Linked DNA regions of Cricetulus griseus. The protein of the gene in region 3 interacts with the protein of the main gene of each other region in a pairwise test. Links are inferred from orthologs where the notes say so. Each region holds a gene or a part of one and is shown on either strand. Other genes may lie near its edges.

Region 1 (3,547 bases), on a different chromosome or scaffold from region 3:
CCCTGAAGAGGGTCAGAGGCTTCTTAAAGCAGTTTCAGACCAGGCTGCAATAGGAGAGCCCTTTAGGCTACAGCTTTACAAATAGGTAATGAGGCCAGAAAATCAAGCTCTCCCCCCTCACACACCTGTGGGGAGAACATGAGAGCCCTTTACCCCAGTACCCAGGGGCATGCAAACTCAGAAAAATTAAAAGCCTAGCAGCCCTCCTCACCAACTTCTACTTTGCTAGAATTGGAGAGCAAGGTTTTCTGGATTAAGGAAGAGATTCCTTAGCAGCTAACATTCCCCTTTAAGTTTCTCCCTTCAAAAGCAAGTGAGCAAACAAGAGCACCTAGCTGAATGGCCATCCCACTCTTGGCCCGCCCATCCATCCAGTCCATCCCAGTTCCTTCTCCCTCCCAACAGCCCTCTCCTTACTTGATCTTCCTGAATTCATCACAGTCACAGAGGATCAAATTCATATGCTTGTCAAAAGCTTTGAAGGTCCCGATGAAGATCCGGCCATCTTGCAGGATGCACCTCATCCTGTAGTCAATGTGCTGCAGCATCTTGCTGCTCTTACCCACAGTCTGCAAGGAGAGAGCAGGGAGCAGTGAGGACTCACTCACACACTTCTGCTCTTACCCACAGTCTGCAAGGAGGGAGCAGGGAGGACTCACTCACACACTTCTGCTCTTACCCACAGTCTGCAAAGAGGGAGCAGGGAGGACTCGCTCACACACTTCTGCTCCCCGCCCCCATCTTCCACCACAGCCTACTTTTCTATTCCCAACCTTCTCAACAATTTCCTGACATCTTCCAAACAAGGTCCTTTTCTGAGACTCTTATCAACCAGCTTTAGCCTTGATTTCTGCCCATTAATGTGCTATTTTCCCTGCCCTTAAAACAGGCAATCTCCCTGGGACTACAACTTTGTCTATGTTGTATCTGTCTCAGGAGAGTTAAAGTGTTCACAAACTAATCAAATCCACCCATACTAGACCTAGTGGGCATTAAGCCATCCACCACTATATAGACTCAGTTCTACGAACAACTAAATCCATCTAAACTAAGAACTGGAATTCAACAGGCACTAAGTGGATTCACTTAATTAAGGAAAAGCTTATTACCAGAAAGTGAAACCAGCTCTGAAGCAAGAACAGGAGTAGGGTAACTTGGGCAACTTTTCTGGGCCAGAGTGCTAATTAGTTTGGATACTTAATAGTCTAATATATATATATAATATAATAGTCTAATTTTTAATTAAGGCAAACAACATTCTCTATCCTGGTTCCCAATGTAACTTTGCAAAAATAAAGGCGCTTATACACACCCCTAGGTGAACAGAGGTATCTGTGGTAGTCTCTCTCAGAAACGTATCAGTTACCCACAACTATAACTGGCATTATGTCACTTTTAACTACCCAAGTTGTCTTCTCTGTACCAGGAACGCTGTTCACCCCTGTGAGCATTACCCAGCCCTAACCTGAAAACCAGATTTTGTATTTTTTTCTGCTTAAATAATCATCTCAAAGAGCTCTGTTACTAGGATCGGCGTATATCGGTCCAATAGCTAATATTTAATAGCTATGTATGGCTAGGCCCTTGAAAAGGATTTATCTCCTTTAATCCTCAAAACTGGGTCCACTGTCATTCCTTTTTACTGACCAAATAGACGACCCAAGCTGAAGGTTAAGTAAGGACTTGTCTCAGTCAACTCTCAAAAACAATAACCTATTTTCGCTACCTCGGGTTTCTTCAGCTACTTAACTAGACTAATATTTTTGGAGACATTCGAGGCATTTGTTACATTTGCTCTGTAGCCAAAACTGGCTTCAAAATTCAAGCTCCTCTGCCTACTATGCACAGAAATTACAAATTTCGAGCACTGGCCACTTTTCCCGGCTGACCTTTCTAAACCTAAGTCCATGAAGCCTGTGAAAACTCTTCCAGCGATGTCTTACTACCAAGAGGGAAAACAAGATGCAGGGACTTCAGCAACCAGGTTCCTGACAATTCGTTGCCTTCTACTGGGCCCTCTCGGTTCTCCAGATTTCTAACCCTCCCTCGTACAGGGGAGCGGGGCGCTCCTAAACAATCACTTGGGCGTCTGCTCTGGACCCGTCCCGCCCCTCCCCCTGCCGTTACTTTTTTGCCTAAAGCCGAACTGCCATAGAGAATCACATTAGCCCTGCACAGAGCCAGAAACTGAACCAACGCACAACTTATTTCAGGGTGCAGCCCCAGCGCCTGACATACCCCAACATAAAAATACGCGTAGCAGGGTCGCGCTCTGCATGCAAACACTCTCCTCCACCCTCCCGCTCCCTCCGCCTCTCCTCCGTCCGGCCCGGTGTCCCCCGGTCGGCCGGAGGCTCGCGTCCGCTCCGGGAGCCCGGGCACACAGCGACCCGGCACACGTTTCCAGCTACCGAGGCCGCGGAACTGTAACCGCAGAGGCGCCGGGCCACGCACGGCGGCCTCGGTCCCCGGTGCAGCCTTCCCCTCCACCCGGGCCCAGCCGCTCCGCAAGTCCAGGCCTTTGGCGCCCGGATTAAGCGGCTTCGACCCCGACCTTGTCGGCCACGGGCGGCTTCAACCCACGGCCGCCGCCAGCCACCGCCCCACTCCGCACCCCTGAGCGCCCCGCGGCCAGCCCGCGCCTTCTTACCATGGTGGCGGCTCCGATGTCTCAGATGCCCGCCGGATTCGCTTCCACAGAGGCCTAGTCGCCAGCCAGCAGCGCGATTCCCGCCGCCGCTAACGGAAATGCAGCCCGCAAAGTGCCGCCCCTCGTGAGGCTACTTCCGGCTCGGCCTCCGCCCCGGAGTTCCGGGCCCTGGTAGCAGTTTAGGGCGTGGAAAGGTGTTGACTGCGGCCGGTTTGTTTGGGGTTTTGTTTTTGTTTTGATTTTTTTGGTGTGTGTGGTTTTGGTTTTTTTTTTTTTTCTTCGTTTTAATTTTATCGAGCTCTCCCTCTCGTTTTGTTTTGTTTTAGAGACTGTGTCGCCCAGGCTGGTCTTAAGCTCCGATCCTCCTACCTATAGCATCCTTAGTACCGACGCGGGCGTACACCATCATATTTGGTAATAAACATCAAACTGAACGCCCTTGAAAGCATTGGATCCTCGTTGGACACACACCTTCCCAACTTAGTCTCCGCGAGGGTGGCGTGTTTCTCTCCCCGGAACCCCTCCCCTACTCCAGTTCTTGAACCCAGCGCTCTCGTGAACTCACTCACAGAACTCACTCTTACTGATTTTCCCCTAAGGCTTGAAATGTTCTTTCATCTGTACCTTTGCATTTGCTTTTGTCTCGCCCTTTCCTCTTCATGTTTAGACTGAAATAACACTGTCCTGGTGAGGACTTCCCTGATCGTCCTTTCTCTTTATAGATAGGTAGGTAGGTAGATAGATAGATAGATAGATAGATAGATAGATAGATAGATAGATAGATAGATAAGAAACGAGTCCTTCCCATTTTTTGTCTTTAATATTGATTGCTATCTGACATGCTAAGCGGTAGTCCCCTCATTGTTGGAGGGGTTACCTTCCAAGACTCCCAGTACC
Region 2 (3,821 bases), on a different chromosome or scaffold from region 3:
CCCATTCTTCTTATTTGTGGGAACCAAGCCAGCTTCTGATGATACACAACTCTGGTAATTAAACACTGCCAAGGATGACATTCACCCATAAAGTATGGACCACCCCAATGGTCAGGTTCCTCCATACCTCCTCCCTGCACCCACCAGAGCCACCTTTCCCCATACTCTCTAGCCTAGGCTGGTCACAAAGCTTGGGCACTGAGGTATGTAAGCAAGGGTTAAGATCAGGTGCTATCACAGGGTACCTGGGAAAAGATAAGCAAGACTAACCACACACACACACACACACACACACACACACTGAGGAGGGACCTCCAAGCTTTCCCCTAAGTCTGAGCTGAACTCCAGGCTCAGCAGCAAAAACAAAAGCCAGAAATTGTAGAGCAGCCAGGTTCCCTCCTAACCTGCTAAGCCCTGCCCTACTGCACATCTCCACCCCCCTCCTTGCACAACACAACAAACAGGCTCTGTGGTGTGGTGAGTGTCCTGGAACAGGGGACCTAAGTTAGTCACTCCAGCTGCCTGGCTCAGCTCTCTTCCACTGGAACAGAGCTGTCTGCCCAGCACAGGTTAATTTTGAAGGCTGAATCAGCCTCTAGCAAAGTGTCCTGCTAATTCTACCCACTAATCTCCATGACTTCAAATTTTCATCCACGAAGCCTCCCACTCTTGCCAGAGCTGAACCTGAGATAGGTGCAACGTGCCTCATAGAAGGAAGTGAAATTCAGCCCTCTTGCTGTGCTCTCTCTCACTGCCTACACCGCGGGGGCTGTTTCTTAGTGTTAAGTTCCTCTCGCTCCACCTGACGGCTCATGAAATTCTGCACTTGGAGTCACCCAGCAGCTTGAGCTTCCAAGCATGCCCCGGGGGCAACCAGAATCATAGGCAAGCGCCTGAATGGTCAAGGCAATGCAAAAACAAATTTGGTAATCTTCAGACTCTTCTGACCCACTAGGGTCTTGCCTTTGAAAGACAAGCCAAGTGGTTTGTGGGTTCTTAAAGAAGCCTTTTAAAAGAAAAGCTTTGTCTTTAAAGAAATCTTAGTTAAGTTCGGAGACCTTCCCTCCCCAAATGTGAGCTCTGAGTTTCTTGCCTCATCCGGCACTCCACCTCATCACATCCCTGAGCTATCTGTGGCCTCGTCTCTGCTTTCTTCCCTGGAGATTGATGCCATACATGCCTGCTAGGATGGCAAAGCACATATCTTTGGATATTGTTCCAATTGGTAAGGGGGAACTCCAGCTTATCAGCAACAGAAAAATCAAGTTCCCAGATAAAAGGACCAAGAGCTGTCACCAAGCAGTTCTCCTGTCCTTCATCCCCTTCTCTGCAGGCTGGTAATCCCAACCAAAGTAGGGACCTCCAGAGCCAATCACAAGTAGGAGTCATTGTCTTGGTGTTTCTTTTGATGCCTATCACTCCCCTCCCCCTCCCAGCAAAGCCCCAAAGTTCAACCCTTGCCTAGACTGGACAGTGGGGGAGGTGCAGCCAGAGGGTGTGACTCTGAAAACGCCGAGACCCCCTCCCACTCTGCACACGAACTGCAGGTGGCTCTCCGGTTGGTGTGAGCCTCCGCCTCCAAGAGGTTCTGGGCAAAGACAAACGTAAAATGGGGAAAAGTAGAGACCTTCAGCTTCCCTGAGCTAAAGTGGTAATGTCCAGACTGGTAAGAAGAGGGCACTTCCTGAGAGCACAGCAGAGAACGCTTTATTCCTAGCAAAGGGATTAAAGTCCGCTGGAGCCATCCCAGAGCCTCAGAGCTCCAACTGGGATGCTCAATTAAAACTCCTCCTCTTCTTGGGAGATGGCACTAGCTAGACACCTTGAAGATCGATAGTGGCTAAGATCTCAAAACACACGCGCGCACACACGAGCGCAGACACACCTGGGTGACTCCAGGACAGAGTCTCAGCCTCCGAGTCGTGATGCCAGGGCTCTGCGCCAGGGTCCAGGGTGATGAGCACTCGGGGGGCTTGGCGCCCACACTCGATTGGGAAGGAGGGGGCAAACTCCAGCTGTTAAGAAGAGGACCCTTCAGAGTTCGCAGGGAGGCAAAATGCACCACAACTCACGGCCCCACCCCAGAGTCAGACCCGGAGGCCAGAACGTTCCGAGCGCTTGGCAGTGCACCCCAGGGTCACTTGCCCACCTACTCTCAACTCCAAGTTCCAAATGTTTCCCTAAAGCCCCGCTTGGAACAGCACGCCCAAATTTGTGCTTTGCACCCCGCTCCCACATCCCGGCACCCCAATTCTTCATGGTCACCCCAGATGTCCGCAATCCAAACCCTTCCCGGGCCCCCACGCGCCGCGCGACTCCGCTCCCCACTTCCCGGAGGAGGCACGATCCAACTCCGCCTGGCCCCCGGCCGCCCGGGCGCTCACCGGGCTGCGGCAGGAGGCGGTGGCGCGAGCTGGGGCAGTGGCTGCTGCGGGCGCGAGCTGGCGCGGGAGGAGGCCACGGCGCACCTCGCGGTATTGTTTCCAAAATACGCCCGCTCCGGGCATCCCGCAAACAGCTGATGAGGCCCCGCCCCTCTCGCGTCACTCCAACCATTGACCAATGACAAGTGGAGCTCCAAGTCTCAGGCTGGGTAGCTGCCAGGGACGGTCACTAATGTACAAACCTTCCCTTGGAAACACTATAAGGGGCCGAGCGCATTTCTGACCTTCGCCAGAAGCGTAATTGGAGCGCTGTGTCGGGTGAGGATTCGGTTCCTAAGGCAGGCCCCAGAAGCGCCAGGGAGTCCCTGGGTTCTCCACTAGGTGGGAGGACAGGGCTCCGAAGTGACTTTTGTCTACTTGGAAATGGACTGAATTATTGCGGAGTTTCCAGAAAGCCGGCTCAGAAGGAGGCTGGGAGCTTTCAGCGGCTTGCAACTTGTAGAGGGAAAAAGCTGTTGTCGGTCCCTAGTGAAGGGGGGAGGGCGCCGCCCTCTCGCCTGCTTGGGTGGGTCCGAGGAAAGCTGGAGGAAAACACGTGCATCTGTAACCAAATGACATTTGGATCCAGCAAGTGCAATGAGAGGCCCAGGTCCTCTCTTCTGGACTGGGCAAGAACATGTGCGAAAAAAAGATTCTGGCAGAGGCGAGATCAAGAGGGGCAGCTTGGGCAGCCGACACAACCTGTTGATGGTCGCATCAGAAGACTTCATTGGCCGCTGGGAAAGCAACAAGCATCTCACGTACTATGGTCGACCCAAGGATGACTGCACATTTCTTGAACACCTACTGTGTGCCAGGCACAGGACTAAGTGCCAGACTTCTGGTGCCTGACCTCAGTGAACTTCTACCCCGTTATTTTCGAATAACGGAAAGCAACATGAATGGTGTTCCGTGTAGGGATAATTATGGGTGCAGGAAAATTCAGAATGCAGAGATTTTGAGTCGAGCTTAGAAAAATGAGGAATTTTTCATTAAGTAAAATCCAAATAAAACAGCCCAAGCCCAGAGAAGGCAGGAAGCTAGAATAAAGTACTCTGCTGGAAAGCTTGTCCAAGGAAGCAGGGGCACACCTCTCCAGCAAGCTATCTGGCATCCTCACCATGACTTAGATGTGTAAGTGTGGGCAGGCGGGTTCGGGTCAGACTGCAGAGGTGCGACTGGAAAACCAGGCTGAGGAATCTGTATTTTATAGAGGGCTGGCAGCAAAGGTTTTACAGAAGATGAATTGGGGGGGGGGTGAGGGGAAGACAGGGGAGCACGGAGGAAGGAGGGAGCAGAAGTCAGTGAAAAGAACCAATTCCTGCCACAGCCTACTAGAGCTGTGATAGAGGCAGGCTTGTTTTTTGAGGTAGTGCCTTGTGTGTAGCAGGCTGACTT
Region 3 (3,469 bases):
TTCCTGTGCAGCCATCTAGCTTACATCTACATCACTGATGTAGCCATGCCACAGAAGAGTTAGGCTTTGCACTCAGCTCCCTAGCACCCATTCTGCTATGGCTTCCACAGGAAGGCAAGCGCAGCACCCAAGGCCAACCCACCATCTTCTACATGCCACATTGTGGCACAGCTCTATACAACAATCTGCTGTGGAGCAACTGGTCCATAGACGCCCTTTCCAGGGTGGTCATCATTGGGAACAGTTTCCAGTGCATCGAGGAAAGGTGAGCTATTGTGACCACCAGGCCCACCTACGGGCAGAAGGGCTTTCCATCCCCATAAGGGACTGGGTGGAAAGGTTTAAGGCAGGCATCAACCCCCGAGTCCAGCTTAAAGCACTCAAGGAACCTACAAATAATCGCCTCTTCTGGGGGAAAAGCATGTGTGAGTAGCCATGCTTTATGTGTGAAGACCACACTCTTAATGTACTTTTGAAGTGCCTGCCTGTGCCACCCCACAGATGCTCTTCCCTACAGATGCTTGCTGGGGCATCACATTCCACAGCCCCCAACCCTTTCTGAACTCATCTTATTTTTCTATCCATTATTAAAAAAAAAAAAACCATCCACATATCCTCGCTGATTGTGTATAAATACATTTATTTCTAGGTTGTTGGCAAGGATTCTGCAGAAAAATTATCCCTACATTGCAAAGGTATCTCACAGAATAGTGAGAGTGGCGGGGGATGGGGTGGGGGGATGTGTGCCCCACTACCCACTGATGTTTCTAAGCATACAAAGCATAATGTACTGGCAGGGGCCCTTCCCTGGAACCCGTAAGTGCCCAATTCCCTTCATTCTCAGGGTGAGTCCAGCATTCCCACTACCATCAGGACTGAAAAGCATTGATAGACAAATCCCCATTTATTTTTCAAAAGGACAGTGGGGTTGCCAGTGAAGGGAAGGTACACCAGGAGAGCAGGGTTGTGCCTAATGCCTATGTCTGGACCCTCTGCTCAGATTGTGAAGAGCCTGGAGGAGTTCCCACTGCCGCAGACTCCACGCTACATGGACACCTTTAATGACACTTCTGTCCACTGGTTCCCTCTGCTGAAGCTGGAGGGACTTCCCAGGAACCTGTGGGCATCTCAGGAAGAACCTGACTACCAGGACTGCGAGGACCTGGAGATCATCAGGAAACAGACAGGCTGAGCTCAGCTGGCATAGCAGGACAGTATCTGCCACCTGGGCCAGGAGCCATGCTGCAGACCATGCCATCTCCTTTGCCAGGCAAGAAATACAGCCCAGGCTGCTGGTATCACATCACATTCTGCTCTGGTGGCCTGGTCTCCCAAATAGAGACATTGTTTGTAAAGTCAGTTTAAAGTGCTGTTTATTCACACCTGACTGGTGCAGGGCCCTGATGTCTACTTGGCCATGTCTATGAGGCTCTGCAGGGAGGTGGGCACCCAAGTCTTCTCACCCTGCACAAATACCACACCCCGGTCGATGTAGATGACAATCCGGCCAAAGGTGTAGAGCTGTTTGCCCTCATGCCGCTTGCCAATGACAGGCATGAACACAATGTTGTGCTCTTCTGCCTTGGTCTCAATGAGGTCCTTGAAGTTCATAGGCACAGAGCTGGCAGCCACACCGATGCCCCTCTGAGCCATATTCTCAGCCTCACGGCGTTCCTGCATGGCCTCATACTGGAAGTCCTTCCTGCGCTCCGTGTGGGTGAGGTAGGCAATATTCTCTCGTGCACCTGGCTGCATGTAGGCACCTGAGAGAGGGAGGACAGTGAGGAGAGGTGACCCCAAATGTACAGAACCCAACATGCATTATGATGGCATGGTGTGTCCTCTGTTTAAGGACCCAGGCACTAATACATGGTCACTGCATAATTGAAGAGAGACATATCACAAAATTGGTACATGAACTTGCAGCTAATATCAAATGCCAGAAGCGAATCTGTTAGTATCGGATGAGATGTGGACAAGGGCTGGGCCCAGAGGTGGCCTCCCGAAATCACCACCCACAAGGTCACCTCATAGTCTATCATGGCCTTTGCTGCCTCTACTTTCCCCTTGTCCACAGTGGCTCCTGCCCTCAAAGAATGGAAATCGGGGGTTGGAGATTTGGCTCATTGATAAGGAGTATGTATTGTGCTTGCAGAAAATCCAGCTTGATTGCCAGCACCCACTTCAGATACCCACAACTATCTAACTCCAGACCATGGGATCTGATAGCCTCTTCTGGCCTCCCCTGGCACTGCACTTGTGTGTATTACGTGAGCCACGTAGCAATGTGACTGTGCTGTAATACAGCAATCCTGGGCCCCCAACAGCAAGCAGTGATACACAAGGACCTGTAGTGATAGATCTGCCTCCACACCTGCAACACTGACCACACCTTTTAGGCGTGGCCATACAGGTTTGGGGTCAGAAGCCCCTTTGGGTCACCAGAGCATCAGGGAGCAGAAACGCTACAGCAGTTACTTACTGTTTTCCGTGTTTTAAGTTATTTACTAATAAACTCCACTTAATACTGGTCTGGTGAATCCTAATATCCATGCCTTTAAGGACCCAGCTGCCAAGTGCCACAGACATGAGCTCAGCCATCTTGTAGCCCATGAAGTAGGCACAGAGCATTGCTCAGAAAGGAGCAACTGCCAAGTTCTGTCTATGCAGAGCAGTGTGGGAAACCTGCCTGGAGTCAGACCCACTCTTGTCAGCCTCTGTCACAGGACAACAGGGTGGGAGCTGTAAGTAGCAGTCCACTGGACACTGTCCCAGGAGTAAAGTGACTGGTAGAGTGGCCTCACAGAAGACCAAAAGCAGTGGGAGTCAATGTCATGTTTAGGAACCAAGGCCCGAACACACCCCCAACAGGAACCCTACTCACCCACATTGGAGGACACAGCCCTGTTCATGATGTCAAGTGCTTCGTTGAACTTGTCCTTGACGGAGGGATGTGCCAACACCTGGTCTGAGAACATGGATTTCCAGCCCAGGTACCACTTGGTGATCTCCTCGTAATTGGGGCTGTTACTGAGCCAGGAGCATAGCACCTGCCAAAGGACACCAGACACTGAGCCAGTGGCCACACACTGGACAGGAGGCTGGACCACAGCAGCGGGAGCAGTGTCCCCAGGGGCTACTTGCTGTCTGCAGCGCTGCTCCTCCTAGCAGCCCACATCACAGGGCTCGTGGAGTTGCAGCATCTAGCAATTATTAGAATCTAGAGCCAGCCTGTGGCCTACATGTGCTGGACCTAAATCTCTACATCCCCAGACAGGTTCGGTGAGGAGCTGAGGTGAGACAATACCATGCCTTGACAGCAATGCGCACTGAGGACCCCTGGGCTCTCACCCCACCCTGCCCTCCTGGGCCACACAGCACACCTGAAGCCACTTGGGGAAGAAATGCTTCTCCAGCAGCCCCACCAGGCTTGAGACAGAGATCATCCCTTCCCAGTCCATCACCCAAT

What was found.
Region 1: the proteins of Tfip11 (region 3) and Snrpb interact in binary tests that used the Homo sapiens proteins (3 or more experiments, as listed by UniProt). The link is inferred for Cricetulus griseus from reciprocal best matches to the Homo sapiens genes TFIP11 and SNRPB.
Region 2: the proteins of Tfip11 (region 3) and Bmf interact in binary tests that used the Homo sapiens proteins (3 or more experiments, as listed by UniProt). The two-hybrid records come from large-scale screens. The link is inferred for Cricetulus griseus from reciprocal best matches to the Homo sapiens genes TFIP11 and BMF.

Annotation. Positions count from the first base shown.
Region 1 is NC_048599.1:48,440,064-48,443,610, reverse strand, and holds the start of Snrpb (small nuclear ribonucleoprotein-associated proteins B and B'), read right to left. Parts: upstream 2,801-3,547; 5' UTR 2,654-2,800; coding exon 2,651-2,653; intron 570-2,650; coding exon 418-569; intron 1-417. UniProt on the Homo sapiens protein: Plays a role in pre-mRNA splicing as a core component of the spliceosomal U1, U2, U4 and U5 small nuclear ribonucleoproteins (snRNPs), the building blocks of the spliceosome.
Region 2 is NC_048599.1:59,933,498-59,937,318, reverse strand, and holds the start of Bmf (bcl-2-modifying factor), read right to left. Parts: upstream 2,508-3,821; coding exon 2,385-2,507; intron 2,016-2,384; coding exon 1,886-2,015; intron 1-1,885. UniProt on the Homo sapiens protein: May play a role in apoptosis. Isoform 1 seems to be the main initiator.
Region 3 is NC_048597.1:92,011,056-92,014,524, reverse strand, and holds the end of Tfip11 (tuftelin-interacting protein 11), read right to left. Parts: coding exon 3,384-3,469; intron 3,051-3,383; coding exon 2,885-3,050; intron 2,533-2,884; exon of another isoform or gene 1,764-2,532; coding exon 1,408-1,763; 3' UTR 1,340-1,407; coding exon of another isoform or gene 1,289-1,339; 3' UTR 1,288-1,288; coding exon of another isoform or gene 1,192-1,287; 3' UTR 1,190-1,191; coding exon of another isoform or gene 1,001-1,189; 3' UTR 696-1,000; coding exon of another isoform or gene 650-695; 3' UTR 621-649; downstream 1-620. UniProt on the Homo sapiens protein: Involved in pre-mRNA splicing, specifically in spliceosome disassembly during late-stage splicing events. Intron turnover seems to proceed through reactions in two lariat-intron associated complexes termed Intron Large (IL) and Intron Small (IS).